Linked DNA regions of Neodiprion lecontei. The main gene of each other region encodes a partner of the protein of the gene in region 3 in a complex. Links are inferred from orthologs where the notes say so. Each region holds a gene or a part of one and is shown on either strand. Other genes may lie near its edges.

Region 1 (5,842 bases), on a different chromosome or scaffold from region 3:
TTTTGAAAACTTATAATCGTCTTACGTTTCCTTATACATTCTTTCAACTCTTCAGAAATCTACAGAATCGTTTCTCAGAAACAAATTAGAGATCCTCCCGAAGGTGACACTATCCGGCCGCAAAACGTAGAGCCAATCGACGTTAAACCGACGATGAATGCTGACGGAATGCGCAAGCAGTGTTGCCAGTGACTCGCCTTACTGCTTTCTATGTGAGTGGCGCTGTGAAATTGATTCTATTATGGTCATTCGTTATTTAATTATTCTTTATCTGATTAATTTCCAACCATTACCTGACACAAACTATTCAAAAGCTTACATTTTACTAATTTAAGGACGTTTTTCTCCTGTTTCCTCTTACTTTCTGGAGCGTTCTGATATCATTCCAATTTTTCAGAAGCGGTTACATGGTGGGCTGGAGGGAGAGAGTGGTGACTGGTGGTAGGTACAGCGGATGCGTGGTAGGACGCGGACTAAGACTATATTTTCGATCTTGTATAGGTGTAGAAGATCTTTTTTTGGTCTGTTGGTTTAAATGGCAGAAAAAGATTCAATTCTCCCGAAAAAGCGACGTACAAGATAAAGAATTCACCGTGGCCGGCACACCATTCTGCCCTCTATTCAAATTTGTCTTATTTACTACTATACATATACATATATATACACATATATATCTACACTATTATACATATATGTATGTATATATATATATATATTACGTTATGATAATTAAATGTTGTATTACCGCTTCTTTGTAATACATATATAATTATTCTTCTCTACGCATAGTGTGATGATCACGAGTACATATACTATAAACAATTTATAAATAATAACACAATTACAATGATAATTGTGCAGAGCAGACGTCGTAATGAAAATACTAAATATCAATAAAGACGAAACGACGAAGATGGGAATGACTCCATGTTGATCACTACTTGCTCTCGCGCGCACGTAGTAGAATTAAAATAAAATGATACGCGCAAGCACTAAACTGTATGCTTTTCGACTTTATTTTTTACAAACAGCTTCGTGTCCAGAAAAACGTGTGAAATATTAATTTAAAAAATGAAAAAACAAAGGTAAAAAAATAATAAACAATTTCACGTAGACATTTAAATTTAATTTAAGATTGCGACCAGGAAGACATTTTGAGCATGTACAGATAAATGATTGATTGGTTTGATACGCGTGTAGACGCGTTGCAGATTGCGAGAACCATCTTTGTCGTAAAATAGAATGACTTGGAACTGAATGAAATAAATCGAAGCAAAGGCAACAGCGAACAACACGTTGTGGAACTTGAAATGTCTAGGCTTCGCGCACTACACGAGAGATTAACAACTCCTAATTACTATACAAAACATGCTTTAGAAGAAATGAAGGAAAAAAATCTTGAGAAAGAAAAAATTAAAAAATTAAACACACTGTTATGAAAACCTTATGATATGCGTAATTTACTAACCTTATTATTAATTACAATTACATACCTAATTTTTTTTTTCTACACATTTAATTTTATTCATATTGAAATAAAGACGTCTCTTTCGTTGTATCAAATAGAAAACGTCTTAGTGCTGATTGTGGTTTCCTGATTAAATCCATGTAGGTAAATGATAAATTTGCATTTTAGCAATAAAGAATATGAAAACAAAAAAACTTTAACTTATTCTACTAGTTAATGTGAAGTGGCAAAGCTTTATTAAAAAAAAAGAAAAAAAAAAAAAACAATAAAAACCATTGAAACTCGTTCCGTTCGTTTAAAAAATAGATATTTTTTAATCCAATCCCAATTCTTAAAATCCCTCGAAGGAAGTCATCTACCCAACAGAGTAGAAGCAATTTCCATATTTTCGAAAGGGAAAGTGGTGTAAATTGCTTCGATTTTTTCGATTTTCATTCTCATTTTCGTATGAAAATACTGAAGCAGGCATTTGATAAAATAATTATCCAGTGTCATGTCAAATGATGTGACAAAAGACTGTTCAATGCTACAAGGAATAGCGATTGACCAGAAGGATCAGCTAAGATGCCTGCGACACTGAAGCGGGTTCCAGACGAATCGTATTTCTGTTATTATTGCGACGATTTTTCTGACGCCATTCAAGCCACCGTACCAATTCAAGGTTTTGAGTAGCATCGTTTGTCTCTGCACGAGATTCCAGCTGTTGATAATACGCCTCTCTTAATATTCTAAACATTTGTATATTTCTGTACGGTAGCTGTGTCACTGGATCCATATACCGTGCAGGAAGTCTAAAATCATTCAGAAAATATAGTGTATTAGTACCTGATTATTTCAAAGTAATCACCTTCAGGAGTAATACATCAATGTCGAAAGGCCGTAACTTACCTTGTAATTGCACAAAGAGATTTTAGTGAGGGGCGAGGAGCAGGTGTACGTTTGAAAGCTTCCGTAAAAAGTCGTTCGTTTTCAAATGTGATGAAAGTTCTTTCGTATTTAGAACCTGTATCTTCATGAATGATTTGACTTTCAGCTTCATTAGGAGCTGAGCTCGATTCTCCCTTCTGTTTAATAGGTGTATCTTTGTTACCGCCGTCAATAGTTTTTTGTTGATCCATTATTTCTCTGAAAAATAATTTTGAAAGTAGTTAGAACTACGGCAGTTATGGACGTTTTTGTTTTTTATTGCGGTCTGCATATTGCAAAAGGCTTTACACAAATAACGACCAATTTAAGTCTCACTGTTTTTCAGACAAGGGAGGTGATAATCCAGGTTCTAGAATATCACTGGTTGTATTAGTGGTATTTTTTTCATCGTCAGCTTCGACGTTAATTTTTTCCTCATCTTTGTCAGCTTGTGTTTCAGACAGCATCAAAACAGGCATAGACAAAGATTGGTAACGTATAATGGGGCCAACATTTGTCTTTCGCACTGTCCTCGTGTTTTTCTTCTCGTTCTCTAACTTTTGGTATTTTTCTGTCAAAACATGTTAAAAGTATGAGTTGAATAACCATCCATCGGCACAGACAATCATGTCTTTTTACTTGCCAGCAGTATTATTCATTACCTAATGATTTTAAATTTACTTCCTCCGTGATGAGGGCTTCCTCCAACAGTTCTTCCTGCGTTGGCTTCCAAACGTCGTACTTTACAGTCTTAACTTTTCTCTTCAGATCCTCATTTCTCTCTTTGAGTCGTCTTTGGGTCGCTGCCGACTTTGCAGCAGTAGAACGACGAATGGATTTTCTCTCTTTAAAACGAAACGGGGATAGTAGTTTGGCATGAGGCTATAAATACTGCTGATCGAATGGCTATGATCACGTTTATCGCCATTGATATTTCCTGATATACCTGAATTGTCAATAGAAGTTCGACGTTGCCTGGGTGTCTTAGTCTTTTTCTCTTTAGGAGTAGAATGTGAGTGTGCTGAGGTAGGTTTAGGCTCTTTGTATGCCTTTGTAACAAGGCGTCGTTTTTTTTTGGGTCCTTCTTGTTCGGGATCGGAAACAGGCTCGTCATTTTCGTCTATACTAAAATCTGAGTCCACTTCATCCTCGCCTTCGTCCTCTTCCCTGAGTATTCAACAACATTACAATGAAGTATTATTCTGTGAGTGAAATACTAATTTTATGGAAATATTAAACAGAATGTTTGTCAATTGAAATTCTCATCTAACTAACATGTAATCGTTATCCTGCTCGACTTCTTCGAACCCTCCGTATGTAGTTTTATAGAAATCATCCTCTTCTTCTTCGTTGAGTAATCTTGCCATTTTATTCCCAGCATTGGAACGTCTCTCTCTCGTCGATGCCATCGTAGAGAAATGTTTTTTGACAGCACGATTGATTCAATAGTTCACTTTCTTATTAATTATTGTTCATTCGAGGAGAAGATCTTTGATTCAGTGATGCCTGTGAGGCTCAAGCCACTATTGACGTGGGTTTTTGAGGTTAGATCACACTTTCGTGTTCTCGCCAAACGCGTGGCTGTGCGCAACTGTCAGACGACTGTTTTTTTTTCAAACTGAAAAACAACGAACCTTCTATATTCGAGTGTAATTTTTTTTTCAGAATAGAATTAAGACGTTTCGAATTGTGACGTCAGCTACAAATGATAACACGTTTGATTGAAGAAAATTTTGCCGACATTGCTGAATGTATACTTATTGGCTGAACATGCAGAGCACAATTTCTGACAGAAATGCCCGTACAGCTAGCTCTGTGGAGTGGGATATAGAAGTGAACCGAAAAACCTTTCCCATTTTTAATAACTAGACAAATTTCTATACAAGACGAAAAATTATTTATTTACAGTACTCAGGGTTTCCAATTTAAGAAACTATCCTGGATGACAATTTGCTTAAATATACTATTAGGCATGGGCTGTGGAGCTGTTCGATTACGTTGAGCTTCGTATATGTACGCTACTTTTTCCCTAGCTGTAGCTCTCGGTATGTCTCCTCGGAGACTCAACAATCGTACGAGATGATCTTCGGTCATGTCAGGGTATTTTTCAACGAGTGAATGTAGATCCAAAGATAAAATTTCAGAATCCTCGCAACGCAGTACTTCGGCCAGTCTTTTTATTACTTCGAAAGGCGAATCAAAGTTGCCCACTTTGGGTGCAATTCTGACGAAAAAATTCTTTATCTTATCAGCCTCTGTCATAATTTTTGATGTGCAAGTGAGACATTCGTCGTACGTCTTTAGCGATATCTTTCGCTGCAGCATAGCTGCTATATATCGTTTAGCTATCAGATTTTGAGCCTCTGTAATGACATATTCAAAATTCTTTACTCTAAGGTGATTATAGTCCTGAAAATAGTCCTCCAAGGTTACGCAGATCGTTTCTACGGGTATCGGCGAGGAGAGCCATTTTGGGGTGAGGAGATCTTGGAAGTGGAGTTCCAAGTCTAGGAACGACTCCTCCAATAAAATGGTCGCCGCCTCATCTCTCAGCTGTTGGTAATTGGCCAGGAGAGCCTCAAACCTGACAGCAGCATCACCGCTGGCATTGGAAACCCAGTAAAGTTGTTTCATTTGCTGAGCGAGTTCAATAAACTGAAGGCAATTGTTTACAATGGTGATCATGTGGTGAGTGAAGTAAGGAACTCTGCTCCGATCCTCGAAATGTTTGCTTTTGAACTCAAGTATGGCCTGACGATACGCCGCACAGTATCTCACAACTTGGTCTATACAAAGGACAAGCGCTCTGGCAGTTAGTTGATTGCTGATCGTTTTCGTTACTTGGAGATTCTGATCCACCATTTGAAATATGATTACCGGTGCTGCCGTGTGGTAATAGGTTTCTTGCGTACTACCTTCTGGCAGTACTCCGCTCCACCAGTCAACCTTTTCAGTTTCCAATGTCTTCTTCATCCATTCTTCATAGTTCTGTTGCATGTTCTTCAAGTATTGATCCTGCAGTTCCTCCAGGACCTCGTTGCTCAGCAAAGGTCCTATATCACTGGTGTCGATGTTCAGCTCCGGGTGTTGCATTAGTTCTACACCTGTATAAGTGTTCATTATCCAGGCAAGCAGAGATACGTATTCGTTACCCTCTAGGCCATTTGCTATTATGTCTTTCAAGTGTTGAGATAGACTGTTATGGTACATCTCTACAAACTTCCTGACTATGTTGTAAGAGGGTGGGAAGCAAGGTCCGCACAGTGTTTTTACCACCCTTAGGTCCTCGAGGATGAGGAGACGTGCCAATTCCAGATACCTTGCCAGCCACATTTTATTGTCTGCTCGTTCATCTACATGAGTTCCCTCGACTCTGTTGGCCACAGATTTCTCCAATACTTCAATTGCCATCTTTTTCCAATTCTTCGGTCTTCCCGGAGGCATGAATCCGCTCTGCTTATGCCTTTG
Region 2 (7,897 bases), on a different chromosome or scaffold from region 3:
ATACAAGAGGGACAATGCAGTTTGACAGTGATTATAATAAGCGGTAAAATGGATGCATTGGCTCATTTTGCTGACATTTTAATATAAATGTTGCATAATTCAACTTAATTGCATTTACGGTGATATTCCGGTGGTGCTGCTCCGTAATCTTGAAGACTGAATAAGTCGCTGCTATTCTTATGCAAGTATCTCAAAAAGTCGTGTATGTGCGCCAAAAGTAACTGAATACTTCTCTCGTCGAGAGGTGTGTAAGATAACATACTGCCAAGTTTCACTGTAGGATGAAATTATTAGAGTACTTTGAAATTTACTCAAATTAAATTCACATTATATATATGATATTATTGACTACATCGCACTCATACTCGTTAGGCGAAGTCGTATGCACGTATCTTGCTTGCAAGGTATCGGTGGCTAACACAAAGCATGGTTTGTATTGCATACTGCGGCCTATTACACGAGTTTTATTTACAACTACTAGCGTATGCTGCTTTTAGATTTTTTTTTTCTATTTTGACTAGTCAAGAATATATATGCAATTAATTCAAGACAGTAGATGAGAAGGATTAACGTGACAGTAGCGAGGAAACCTGGTGGTCCAGTGGGTATAAGTCCAGGTATAGGCCTCCACTGGTCCCAGGGTAGATTCTCCTGGTCGTCCGTTAATTTTTCTCATTGAAAAAATTGCACTTTCATTAATTATGAAATTCACTAGGTTTGTTATGATTAATATTTTTAACCAAATCATTTTCTGAAACGATATGTGCTACTTTGAATCCAATACAAGACTTGAGAATAAATTTGTCGCTTACCAAATAGCCTGAGTAGGTGGAAAGCTCCGTATATTTGACTGGGAGTTGAGTCTGGATTTTCAGTCATTACTTCACTGTATTGTTGACGTTCCCATCGATAAAGTAATTGCGTACCTAACATCACATTGAAATACTCCCGCACGCCTTTTGTCACTTCTAGAACAGCGCTTTCTCTGCAGAAAAATTAGTATGAAAAATAATGTTTCTGTCCGAGCTATTATTTAAACTATTAGTAGAAAAGAAGTTAAAACGTATTTGCGTTGTCAGTTCGTATGTCTGTGTGTTATGCAATGGTCCCAAAACTCAATTTGGTGCCATTCCACTCAGGTCCATGGTTTATGCGGCTATGACTTCCTGGAGCGGAGTAATGGACTTTTAAACTGAGTAGAGTGAGGTCTGAGCAAACTCTAGTTGGTCATAAATTTTTCAATTAAAACTGAACATTTACATACTTATTGGGGTTGTTGGTTTTACTAGATGTCTTAAATTTGACGTAATCGTCCAAAATACGATCGACTGTATTCCTTGCAGGTAGTATTGCCAGTTTGCGTTGCCTGCTAATAGCATCCCAATCATCGACAAGCCACGGCTTCAGCTCATCAGGCATTTTAACCTTCACCTCAACTTTTGTTAAGAACTGCTCCTCCGTTTCCACAGAAGGATCAACGCGGCTGAATATAAATGAATCAGTTTGATTCTATTAACAATACTACAAAACTTTTACCAATCTAGTCACTTGTTGTTATAGAGAGTGAAGAGAAGTAAGAACCTTCTTTTTTTGCGCGGTGCATCAGACGACGAATCATGGGACGATGACGGTGTAGCACCCCCGCCAAGCCCTTTGATAGACCGGCCCCCCGTCTTCTCAGCTATTCCAACAGGAGTACTTGCCCGACTTTCACTATCTTTGTCTCTGCCACTCTCACTTCTACGCCCTTGGGCTTTAGTAGTGGTCCCAGTCTTTTTACCTTTGTGCGAAGGCTGCTGAGTTGAATGGGCACGTTGCACTTCTCTTTGTTTTTGTACATTCGACTCGTTGTACTTCAGCACTCGACTCTCTGGCACCCATTCATCCCAACTAAAAGTAAACAGTCATCCGTCCCCTTATGTAATTTGTGACTTTACTCCATTACAGTAGTATCTAGGATATGATAAAAGACTAATGTATCAGGTTTCATACTAAAAGTAATACTGTATTGTTCTCAATATAAATCAACCCTGAATGTAAGGTATAAAACTGCATTTGTGAAATTATTTTTTTATATTTACCTGGAATGGCAATCTCGCATTAAAAGTTAGGTAAGAATGTTTCCGACATTTAAGGTAAATAAGAATGTTTTAACAATATGGTAATAAGAAAACCAGTTGCAGTATACATCTGCGCAAAACGCGATATATCAAATGCAAAAACACAAAATACATCAAATTCAAGTATCCTCATCTCAAAAAATGCTTGTTTATTAATGATTATGATTTATTATTTAATTACCCATTACATAAGCACAGTGATATCACATTCAGATAGTGGTAGAGAATACTTTGCACAAAAAAGTAAATACTGTCCTATAATTCAATAAGTGCTGGTAAATTTTTGCTGGTTTTTAGAAATTGTAATGTAATTAACTTCCAAATTTTGGAGCGTATGAACTATCCAGGTTTATTAAATGAGGAAAATGGGCATATGAACATGTAACCACTTAAGAAAAGTCCACCCATTTACTGGATTTTGATAGTTTCAATAATTCAACAACCAAATGAACAAATATTAGGAAAGAGATTGAAGATTGTGTTTAAATGATTCTACAAAACAATGCTTAACATTTGTTATAACCTGTATTCTTGCAAATACACGCGAACCGTGGTAGAGTTCAGAAAATAAGAATAAACGGTTACTTACTTTTTGTTCCAACCCGCATAGTGTATCAGATATTTAATCTGTTTCTCCTTGGTAACCGAAGACTTCAGGCATTTGGCTTCGTATATTAATGGTCCGTGAAAACAGAGTACTTTTTCTCCTGAAATCCAATGGTATAATAATTATGGATTCAACTATCGCCAATTTGAGTACAAATAATTACAATTACCACACCTTCTTGAAATTTACACTTCGGTGGCATTTTGTTTTTGATCTTTTTACACTCTACTTGATTCCCCCCAGTTTATTTTTGTTTGATAAAATAAATAAACAAATCGTTTTTGATAGCCGACGATCAAATTTATAGGTTAGGGCACAAGACGCTTATGACAGACGCCTGACGCTCTCTCGGTCGTACTCTGCGTAACTGATATCAACCTCACACAACTATACAATCCGTGTCTCCAGCGTGATGGCAAGGCTGAATCTGGATTCGTGAAGAGAGTAAATCAATCGCAACAGTATTATACAAGAATGCTACACTTTGTTTGCTTCTGTGGAGTCTCACAATATACGACACGCTCGAGGTCCGACGGAGATGGTAGTCTTTCACAGGTAAACAGGACGATGAGTCATACAGAACGTTGACTGAAGAATTTAAGTACGGTGACCCCTGGGCAAATTTTTATGACTGCGACCGGTACTCGTCGGATAAGTTCCGTCAGCTTCTTCATTGACAAACACAAAGTACTCCATTAGGGTAACCGTCTTTAAGGGGGTGCTCTGGCCGATATCGCCAAATAACGAGGTCCAGGGAAAAGGGTTAAACTGCCCTACTCTATATGCAATTTTGAACAAAAATACTTCAATACATTTTCATTTGACGCACAAATAAAGGGATGGGATGCTTTCTGTAAAATCGCTACAGTAAATTTGTGGAGTACATGCCATTTCTTTATTTCTGCGTCAAATGAAAATGTATTGAAGTAGTTTTGTTCAGAATTGTCTATAAGAAGGGAGTGTTGAGTCCTTTTTCGCGGTTGAGGTACGTCGACTGCAATATATGTATATATATAATTCAGCGTCGCAATGGACCAGGACATTCCCTTAATGTGAAATAAGTTGAGTCAGGGATCTCATTACTAGACCTAGGACGAAATTTTATGCAAATTCAATTTAATGAAAAACTTCCCGGCTGCTATATGAAATTGCCGTATATTTCTGGCATTTTTAAGGGCAATTTCAAATTCCCGTATAATTCTCGGTTTTCCAGGAATTCCTGGTCGCTGAACACTCTGTAAACGGATAAAAGCATTTTTTGTATAAAAAATCATCATTTTTTCTATTATGCGGATGTGTCATAATTTTATTCTTCCAAAAACTATAATATTATTTAAAATTTATAATAATGCAGTAAGAATTAGTTCAAAATTGAGAAAGAAGAGAGAAACTCCGAAAAACGGGATAAGTAATTTGCGGAAAAAAGTATAAAAGAGAATCATACGCTACAGTCGTCCCGCTTTTCAGGTTAAAAAAGTGTACATTTTGTTTGAATCAAAAATAAAATATGTAATGATTCATCAGATGAAGTACGACAAAAATCTGTGGAACCCTTTAAAAGAGAGATTAAGAATTGTGTAATGAAAAGAGGCAGAAACTACCAGAAGGTAATTATAAGCAACTAATGGAACAAAAAACTGAAATAAAAACTACTAATTGTTAGTAAGGAAACCACCCTACGGAGGACTGACAATAAAATAAAAAAAAGCGAACAAGCATCGCAATAACGAAAACTCCACGCATAATCCACGCGTTTGAATAAAATTCAAACTGATTCTATGATTTAAAATATGTTTTTTAAGCACCACACGATAATGGAATCTCAATATTTACTATACTTAGTTTTTCGATGTCGGGATTGAAATTTTTTTTTTTATCGGTCACAACTTTGTCAAATGTTAATGAATTTCAAGTTTTCTGGAATTTAGAGAAATGCTCAAAGGCCTGAATACAGTTAATGCCATTCTAATTGTTTTTGCAAGTTATTGAAACAATGCCTTGCAAAATTGTGAACCGAAAAAAACTGAAAGCAATGAAGAGAAATTCAAAATGAAAGATTGTAACTAAAATTACATTAACTTTATGATTCCGTAATGGATTCCGATCGGAAACAAAAAGAAAACAGTCTAAAGAAAGAGCAGTTCAGAATTAAGCGCATTTTGTATTGATTGTGTAATATACATATTATAGACAGTGCGAATAAAAAATTACAGTGGCATCAACTGTATTCAGGACTTCTGACATTTCTCTAAATGCCAGAAAAATTGAAATCCATTCATATTTGAAAAAGTTGTGCCCGACCAAAAAAATAAAAATTCCAATTCTGACATGGAAAAACTAGAAAATAGAAAAAGAATAGTGTTGTTTGATTACTTTCAGATTTTTAAAATGGCGGTTTCAGAATAGGTCCTCAGATTTTCTTTAAATTTCACGGGTGGCTCAAGAAATCTGAAAAAAAATCTGAGACACTTTTGGGTCGGCAAGAACATTATACTAAAAAATGATCCAAATCGAAGGGGGTGAGGTACATGCGGTGTTAATTTGATGTAGAATGTCCCATACACAAAACCGAAACATAGAATCGTCAGAATTCTGACCTTTTTACATTAATTAACTCTTCCATATTTCTAATTTCTGCTTTTTTAAATTCTGTCACATAGATATTCACGACTTCGAAAATTTTAGTTTGTAACTTCTGTTTTCTGATCTTTCTAGATTTTTCACCCTATCCGCCATAATGGATATAAAATTAATTCGAAATATGTAATATATTATGGAACGAGCAGAAATAGTTTTAAAACATCACAACGTAAAAGAAGAATTACAGTTATGATATGTAAATCCACGTGAAATCTCTTGCCTACAAGCCGAAATTGCATGGAAATCTACCATACTCGTCACGAAGTCATTCTACAATCAATGTTAAACCCCAATTCGTGTGAAATCGATATGAAATTATGTAAAAACAATTAGAAATTCCGTGAAATCACATATAATCGCATGAAATCATACGAAGTGGGAAAAATTAGACGTAGTGTATTGCAAAGATCTGAAATCACTTGAAATTATCCGGAATCACTTGAAGTCATACGAAATCACTTGTACACTAAAAGTCTGAGTGAATATAAGCCCCTCCGATAGAATCAGGGTGTGAGTAAACGTTAAAATTGTTGGTGATTTAGCAAACGGAACTCGCTGTTTCGGCCTTATAGCATCGCATGGGTTGTGAGTTTTGCCGCTGGCTTCCGGCATACTATTCTTCAGCCGGAGCGTAAGTCGGAGTGCTCAGACTGCCCAGAATATCGTCTAATCTATGGTAATTAATATTATACCAACATTATACAAGATTGGCAATCGACGCATGCGCATTGTGTGGCAATGCATCAGACCTCATGCGCACTTCTCCGATGCGCACAACCGTGAATAAAAATTGGTAGATAAATGAAAATATCAAATGAAAATATCTGAATAATAGTGAATTAGGTTAAACGAACAAGTCAGTGTAAAACTTTAGGTGAACAAGCTTATTTTTCAAATATAATTTTTACTAGTTATGAGTCTACTTGATATTCCTGTGAGGGTAGAAAGGAAGCTAGAGATAGTGAATTTTTAATTTCCGGCCGCACGCGACAGCCCAACAACAGCGCCATCTGTGGGTCACGAACGATAGTGAAAAGCTCGATATCAGTCGCCTACTGAGCAAATTTGTAAGAGATGGAGCTGACCGGAGAATTGCTACAATCCTGTTGAAAAGGTACGTGCGTTTGAACGCTAAAGAATGTTCCGGTATCGTTCCTCAACTGGAATAATCAGATACTCCGCTCAGATATTCGGGACTAACCCGAAGCCCCGTAAGCAAAGGCCACAATGGGATGACCAGACGCGTCCCCTGGTCGCTCGAAACCTGCGACGTATACGTTCTGTACATCATACGCTATTCTCTCCTGGAACTTAGCCTTCCGTAGATTAGGTTAATTGGTCGAGCCTATTTACATGTATCACCTCGCCAACATTCACTTTAGGCGAGATCCATCAGCCGGATAAATCGAGTTTTTCCATTTCTAACCGCCCAATATTCCAGCAATTCTACCAACTTATTCTGTTTAACAATCTCAGATTGTTCTGTATTCCTCTATCCGCAAATACCTACATAGGTATACATGTCACTGATAAGGATCTTGCAATTACAATCAGTTTTTCGGTTTATTTCTCACTGTCAGTCAGCTAAACTATAGTTCAATGTTCAATAACTTGCAATATATCAGAACAGTAACGCGTAGACTTGCAAATTCAAATCTCATACTAAAGTCCACAAAATCTCTTCACAATGATTTTTTATCACTTGTCCTTTGCAGCGACTGGATTAACTTGATACAATTTGATTTTGTATTTGTTGACAATTTTCATTTTCGTTAAACTGTCGGATCAGAACTGTGTAAATTTTGTGTGCAATCTAAACTTTCTTTAGACAAAGTTGGCATACTTTCGATTTAAGCACTGTGAATAAATGCATGGTCACAGAGAAAAGAAATAGCTTGAAATCCATTGAAAGTATAAATATGTATCTTTATAGAATCAAAGTCAATGATATTGTTTTTCCTTTTACATATCTAATATAGACGCTGGACAATGCAGACTGTCACGAATCAAGTTAAACAGCTTCCCTCGCGGGGGCTGAAGCAGGTGAAAGTAGACAATTGGGGGACATTTTTTCTCCAGCGATTGCAACAGCTCTATTTTGAAGAAGAGTTACTAGACCTTACAATCAAATTTCCAACTAGTGACATCACCGTACAGGTACATATTTTACTTGTATTTACTCTTATTGAACAGTTTAGCAAACTTCATGACGCAGCTGGATCATTTACTTCTTGTGGTACTTTCTAAAACATGATTTGACAACTGTCAATAGTATTTTTATTATTAATCCTAACAGGCTCATCGTCTAGTAATCACAACATGCACAGATTACTTTACGCAACTCGAATGCCAGCTCAAAGAAAAAGATGATAACTTTGATGGTGTACTTGTCATGCCACCGGATATGCCTTATGAGTGTGTCAAGTCTATCATCAGGTACCTTATGCTTTATTTTTATCATTGATTTTCAGAGGCTTGGAAAACAGTACATTGTATTATTGCCATTCAATAACAAAGATAATGTACCTAA
Region 3 (4,922 bases):
ACGCCCATTTCGCTAGGATAATTCAACTCGAACCATTGACAATTGGTAATTGGAACAGCGTTATAACATCGAGTATAGACAGAAGCGTGAAGGTTTGGAATATCAACAATATATTCGAACAGGTTCACGTTATCGACAGACACGAGCTACAGATAGACTCGATCAGGTGACAATAATCTTCAACATCCCTCTGACCCTAAATATTCACTTAAACCTATGTAACATCATTTTAATACACCAACAGCCTTGCGGAGCACTGCAACTTGGCTGCTACAGTCACCAGAGGCTGCGTTGGGATTTGGAATCTCCAATCAGGACGTCTGATTTCCAAATTGGCTGACAGCCCACTGGGAGCGATAGTGACTCATGCCTGCATCACACACAATGGAAAGTGGGTAGACTATATATACCACTGTCAAAGATGTGATAATACCTTGGAAAAATTTTCAGGTATATCATCTCCACCGAGTCTGGAAACGTTTTGATATGGAACAGAATAACAGAACAAGTCTTATTTAAGGAAGAGCAGCCAGGCGTACGCCAGCTTACGCTGATTCCTGAGACCAGCAAATTCCTGGCTGTATCAAGACCGAGCAATCCTCCGGGCGTTGAAAGCGTTAGAACAACGGCTACTCTTGTCGTCAGAAATATTCCAGGTAATCGAAAACAGCGTGTAACCTATGTGAACCTAGCACCCGACTTGAAAAAACCTAACTATTTTTTGTTGATTCTTGTAGGTTTTTGTAGGTAGTTGTTTGTAGTAACAATGATTTCGGTTGTAGTAGCGCAAAAAAAAAAAAATATAAGGGGTTGAAAAAATGTCAGCACCCCATTTTGAAAAAAATCGAATTTATCGATAGTTTTCCGTACAGAATCGTTTGTAGTTGATTGTAGTGAAGATATTTTCGTTTGTAGTAAAAAGGAAAGAAAAATAGTTTGTTTTTTTTTAGCTAGAATTTCTGTGGCCCTGCTGTCAACTAATGTTTCGGAATCTTTTGTATTTGTTTGTAGTACAATTTTTTTCGTTTAAAATTCCTCAAAAAAAATGGTACTACAAACAACTACAAACGATATTGAAGCGAGTAGGACGTTTGTAGTAAATTCCCAAGGAACTACGAACGAAAAAATCGGTACTACAAACGACTACAAACGATTCTGAAGCGAGTAGGATGTTTGTAGTAAATTTCCAAGGAACTACAAACGAAAAAATCAGTACTACAAACAACTACAAACGTTTCCGAAGCGAGTAGGACGTTTGTAGTAAATTTTGGAGGAATTTTAAACGAAAAAAATTGTACTACAAACAACTGCAAAAGATTCCGAAACATTAGTTGACAGCAGGGCCACAGAAATTCTAGCTATAAATAAAAAAAAAAAAAAAAAAATGTATTTTTCTTTCCTTTTTACTACAAAGTAAAATATCTTCACTACAATCAACTACAAACGATTCTGTACGGAAAACTACCGACAAATTCGATTTTTTTCAAAATGGGGTGCAGACATTTTTTCAACCCCTTATATTTTTTTTTGGCGCTACTACAAACGAAATCATTCTTACTACAAACAACTACCTACAAAAACCTACAAGAATCAACAAAAAAATAGTTAGGTTTTTTCAAGTCGGGTGCTAGGTTCACAAAGATCAGCGTGTAAAGTCTACTACATCCAGTGTATAAGGAACCAAATTGAAACTAATTTTAACTCTACTCAATAGATGGAAGAACAATGTTCTCGTTGGAATATCCAGTGAAAAGTCAAACAGGAGTACCGTTCAGACAAGCTGTTCTGACCTCGGATGGTGCGAACCTAGTCGTACCGGCAGCTGACAAAGGTAACCGAGACTGTGTGATTGTTTACAACGCAAAAACAGGGGTCCTGGTCAATAGAATACCGGTTAAAATACCGGGACTCAAAGACATAACAAGCATAGTACCAATGCCACACCGTGCGCATTGGGTTGGTATAATCGGCTCGGATAAAGGAAGCATCATGGACATAAACAAGAAGAAAATCATCAGATCGGTGCCCAAGTGGAGCGGGAATATCAGCAAGGATGGCAAACACACTTTATATGCTCCCAGCAGGTAAAAAATTTGTAGTTCAATTACCAATTCCTTATCTCGTGGCAGTTTATGTAATTTTTATTTTAAACAGGGGTGGTCTCGATCTCATCGAACTGAAGAAAGGAACTACCGTCAAGACCTACATACCAAAAGTTGCTGAGGGTGTTTTCACCGTCATTTCAATGTTCAACAGAACGGATGACTACGTACTCTACTATCACAGTGGTCGCAAAACAATTAGAGTATTCAGGTAAAGAAACCATTCAAAAGTAATAGTTCTGACAAATACATAACAAGATGATTTACTTCAACAATAAATAATGCTTTAATTCCATTTTTATTCCCACAGATCTTCAGACTGCGAGATGATAGCCAACTACAGAGTCCAAGCAGAATTGAGCGCAATCGACAGCACGTACGATGGAAAAAGCATAGTACTGGGGACCGTTGATGGATGTGTATCGGTGCTGGCAATCGCAGACCCGCAGAAACCAGAAATGAAGGATTACTTGTTGAACTTACCGTCGCGAGACGAGCAGGTGAAACGAGATGATAAAGAAAAGCGCATGTTTATTAGAGGTTATGAACGCGACGGAGAAAAAAATTGCGAGATGAAGTTAGAATATACAAAAAGGTGTTATAATATTCGTCGCGAGATCGGAGATTGAGCAGGGGTGAAAATTCGGATTGAATCGTGGGTGAAATGAAGCGACATAACATAGTTACTAACCTTCTTCGGTATGATGACGCACGGCAGACCCTAACCTCGATCTCGGTAACTCCTTTCACATAGTTGAAAGTCTCTCGTACTTCCGAAACATTTCGTTCACACCTTCACAAGCGAATTCACATCGCACAACACAATTGTCTACTTTTCCGCACTATGTTTGTTTGTTTATTGAACATAAAAACGCAAATATACCGTACAGGCTCCGAACGCCGCGAAATTGTGCGACATAACTTGCACTCGCATCTTCCATCTGCTTCGTTCGCCTCCCGGCCATAGACTTATAACGATAGACTGAGCGTTCCTATAAGAGGCACTGACAATTACATATAAAGGACAGAGATATACCGGGAGTACTGCTCTCGCTTTTCAATCGGCGTCGTGGTGGAAGACAACGGAGCAGTGGAAGTGGAACAGCTATAGATATAGGGGTATAATTTCGCCTCATTCTCCTCTACCGCCTTCAAGCGGCTCATAAGCGCGCTAAGTCTATCTTTATAAGTCTATGCTCCCGGCCCAGTGTTGGCAACCCTCTGGTGGCGACAAGTCGTACTCGATGTGAAAATGAATCGTACTTTGAAATTTCAGGACCGTACAAAGATTTCGCGGAGTACATTTTTGTTCTTTATATTTTATGGTCGTACAATTGCCACAATGTTGCTTCTTTTCTCAAGGACCAGATAAGTTTCAACCACATTATTGTTAGTTTTACGTTCAAAAATATTTCACACTAACGCTAAAGGTTGTGAATTTTTCAATTACACGAAGCAGTTGCTGGAGTCTTGGAGAATAATTGAACTAATATAACCAGGAATGTGAATTACTGAGACCGTTTATACTTCTGTACTTGATTCTTTTACAATATCAGAGGCTAGCCAAAAAATGACCTAAATTCCTAAAATTTTTCCATGACTGTACATTTAGCGTGTCCGTATAGGAGGCGAAATTACCGTACAAATACGGTCCTGACCGTACGGTCGGTAACTTCGTTCCGCCAAAGAGTATAATATGCGTATATATATATATATATATATATACATATACATATATCTCATTTCGAGTTGCGCGTCTTCAAAACCGCGAAACGAAATTAAATTCAAATCATGTGTACAGCCAACCTGTATATTATTAATTATGTAATTTTTACTTTCAGTGGAAAAAGAAGATGGAGAAGCAGCGAGCAGCGACAAAATTCAAGGCGGCGGCTAGAATAGCGAGGGTAACGCACGATCTAGTGCACGTTGTGAGGAAGAACAATGCATTTGTCGAGGAAAACGATGCAACTGATGAAGAGGCGGATCAGTAGGCTGCCTTACAATTATATGATTCGTACTCGTTCCATCTAGTTATCGGCAATGAGAATACCTGGCTTGTAGCAAAACTTATATTGGCGTGTTATGCCTGGTGCATAATTTTCAAGCTAAGAGTTGAGCATAGATAATATACATATTATTGGCAAACTGATAAATTATTATAATCGTTGATATATTGAGATGAATTTATAGACATTCATAAATTATATACAATATGCTAAGGGAAAGAAACGAAAATGCAATTGTAATTTTAAGACATGAAATACGGAATTTATAGTAATATTTATTTCTGTCTTTTAGCGAATATCGAATTTGTATAATTATTTGTTTATTTTTTCATTTATTTATTCTAATTCTCTCTTTCACTTTCTCTCACTTTTTCACGCTTCCTTCAAACTTCAATATTTCAAATGTTTACACTTCGTAAATATTTTGCCATTCGCCTTGGTACATGTAATAACCTTGCATTTTAATAAGGATGACAAAGACGGCGACAACGGCTGATGACAATGTCGCAGGATATAACTCGGTGTAGCTGCGTAATTGAATCGATGATGTGGGTTCAGATCAATGCATTTGAAGAAACAAAATGTAGCGGAAAAAAAATATTCACAACAAAACAACCGTTCTGCAATACAAAGATACTATTTATAATTAATTTAAATTTTACGTGACAACACACTATATGCTCTCTTTCTCTTTAATAATGTTTTACAAATAAATATATATGTATATCTATATATATATTATCCAACAAAAAAAAATAACAAAAACTTCAGTTCCAGATTTTCTTATATGTATATTTGCATTAAGATTTCA

Evidence for each region.
Region 1: transformation/transcription domain-associated protein (region 3) and vacuolar protein sorting-associated protein 72 homolog share a complex: the UniProt entries of both Drosophila melanogaster proteins name them as parts of the tip60 chromatin-remodeling complex. The link is inferred for Neodiprion lecontei from reciprocal best matches to the Drosophila melanogaster genes Nipped-A and YL-1.
Region 2: transformation/transcription domain-associated protein (region 3) and mortality factor 4-like protein 1 share a complex: the UniProt entries of both Drosophila melanogaster proteins name them as parts of the tip60 chromatin-remodeling complex. The link is inferred for Neodiprion lecontei from reciprocal best matches to the Drosophila melanogaster genes Nipped-A and MRG15.

Annotation. Positions count from the first base shown.
Region 1 is NC_060260.1:918,611-924,452, reverse strand, and holds vacuolar protein sorting-associated protein 72 homolog, read right to left. Parts: upstream 4,136-5,842; 5' UTR 3,784-4,135; coding exon 3,650-3,783; intron 3,542-3,649; coding exon 3,321-3,541; intron 3,220-3,320; coding exon 3,037-3,219; intron 2,946-3,036; coding exon 2,711-2,945; intron 2,594-2,710; coding exon 2,357-2,593; intron 2,260-2,356; coding exon 2,028-2,259; 3' UTR 530-2,027; downstream 1-529. Other genes in the region: ras-related protein Rab-11A, read left to right, coding at 56-192; exocyst complex component 3, read right to left, coding at 4,286-5,842. UniProt on the Drosophila melanogaster protein: Part of the Tip60 chromatin-remodeling complex which is involved in DNA repair. Upon induction of DNA double-strand breaks, this complex acetylates phosphorylated H2AV in nucleosomes and exchanges it with unmodified H2AV.
Region 2 is NC_060265.1:18,757,842-18,765,738, reverse strand, and holds the start of mortality factor 4-like protein 1, read right to left. Parts: upstream 6,013-7,897; 5' UTR 5,787-6,012; intron 5,754-5,786; exon of another isoform or gene 5,607-5,753; coding exon of another isoform or gene 5,588-5,606; intron 3,960-5,587; exon of another isoform or gene 3,396-3,959; 5' UTR 2,930-3,395; coding exon 2,902-2,929; intron 2,828-2,901; coding exon 2,710-2,827; intron 1,891-2,709; coding exon 1,582-1,890; intron 1,484-1,581; coding exon 1,265-1,483; intron 986-1,264; coding exon 813-985; intron 275-812; coding exon 105-274; 3' UTR 1-104. Other genes in the region: centrosome-associated zinc finger protein CP190, read left to right, coding at 7,357-7,524, 7,664-7,803. UniProt on the Drosophila melanogaster protein: Part of the Tip60 chromatin-remodeling complex which is involved in DNA repair. Upon induction of DNA double-strand breaks, this complex acetylates phosphorylated H2AV in nucleosomes and exchanges it with unmodified H2AV.
Region 3 is NC_060263.1:16,848,938-16,853,859, reverse strand, and holds the start of transformation/transcription domain-associated protein, read right to left. Parts: upstream 3,057-4,922; 5' UTR 2,794-3,056; intron 2,603-2,793; coding exon of another isoform or gene 2,413-2,602; intron 2,314-2,412; coding exon of another isoform or gene 2,155-2,313; intron 2,085-2,154; coding exon of another isoform or gene 1,715-2,084; intron 657-1,714; coding exon of another isoform or gene 451-656; intron 392-450; coding exon of another isoform or gene 245-391; intron 167-244; coding exon of another isoform or gene 1-166. Other genes in the region: NACHT and WD repeat domain-containing protein 2, read left to right, coding at 1-166, 245-391, 451-656, 1,715-2,084, 2,155-2,313, 2,413-2,602, 3,944-4,096. UniProt on the Drosophila melanogaster protein: Part of the Tip60 chromatin-remodeling complex which is involved in DNA repair. Upon induction of DNA double-strand breaks, this complex acetylates phosphorylated H2AV in nucleosomes and exchanges it with unmodified H2AV.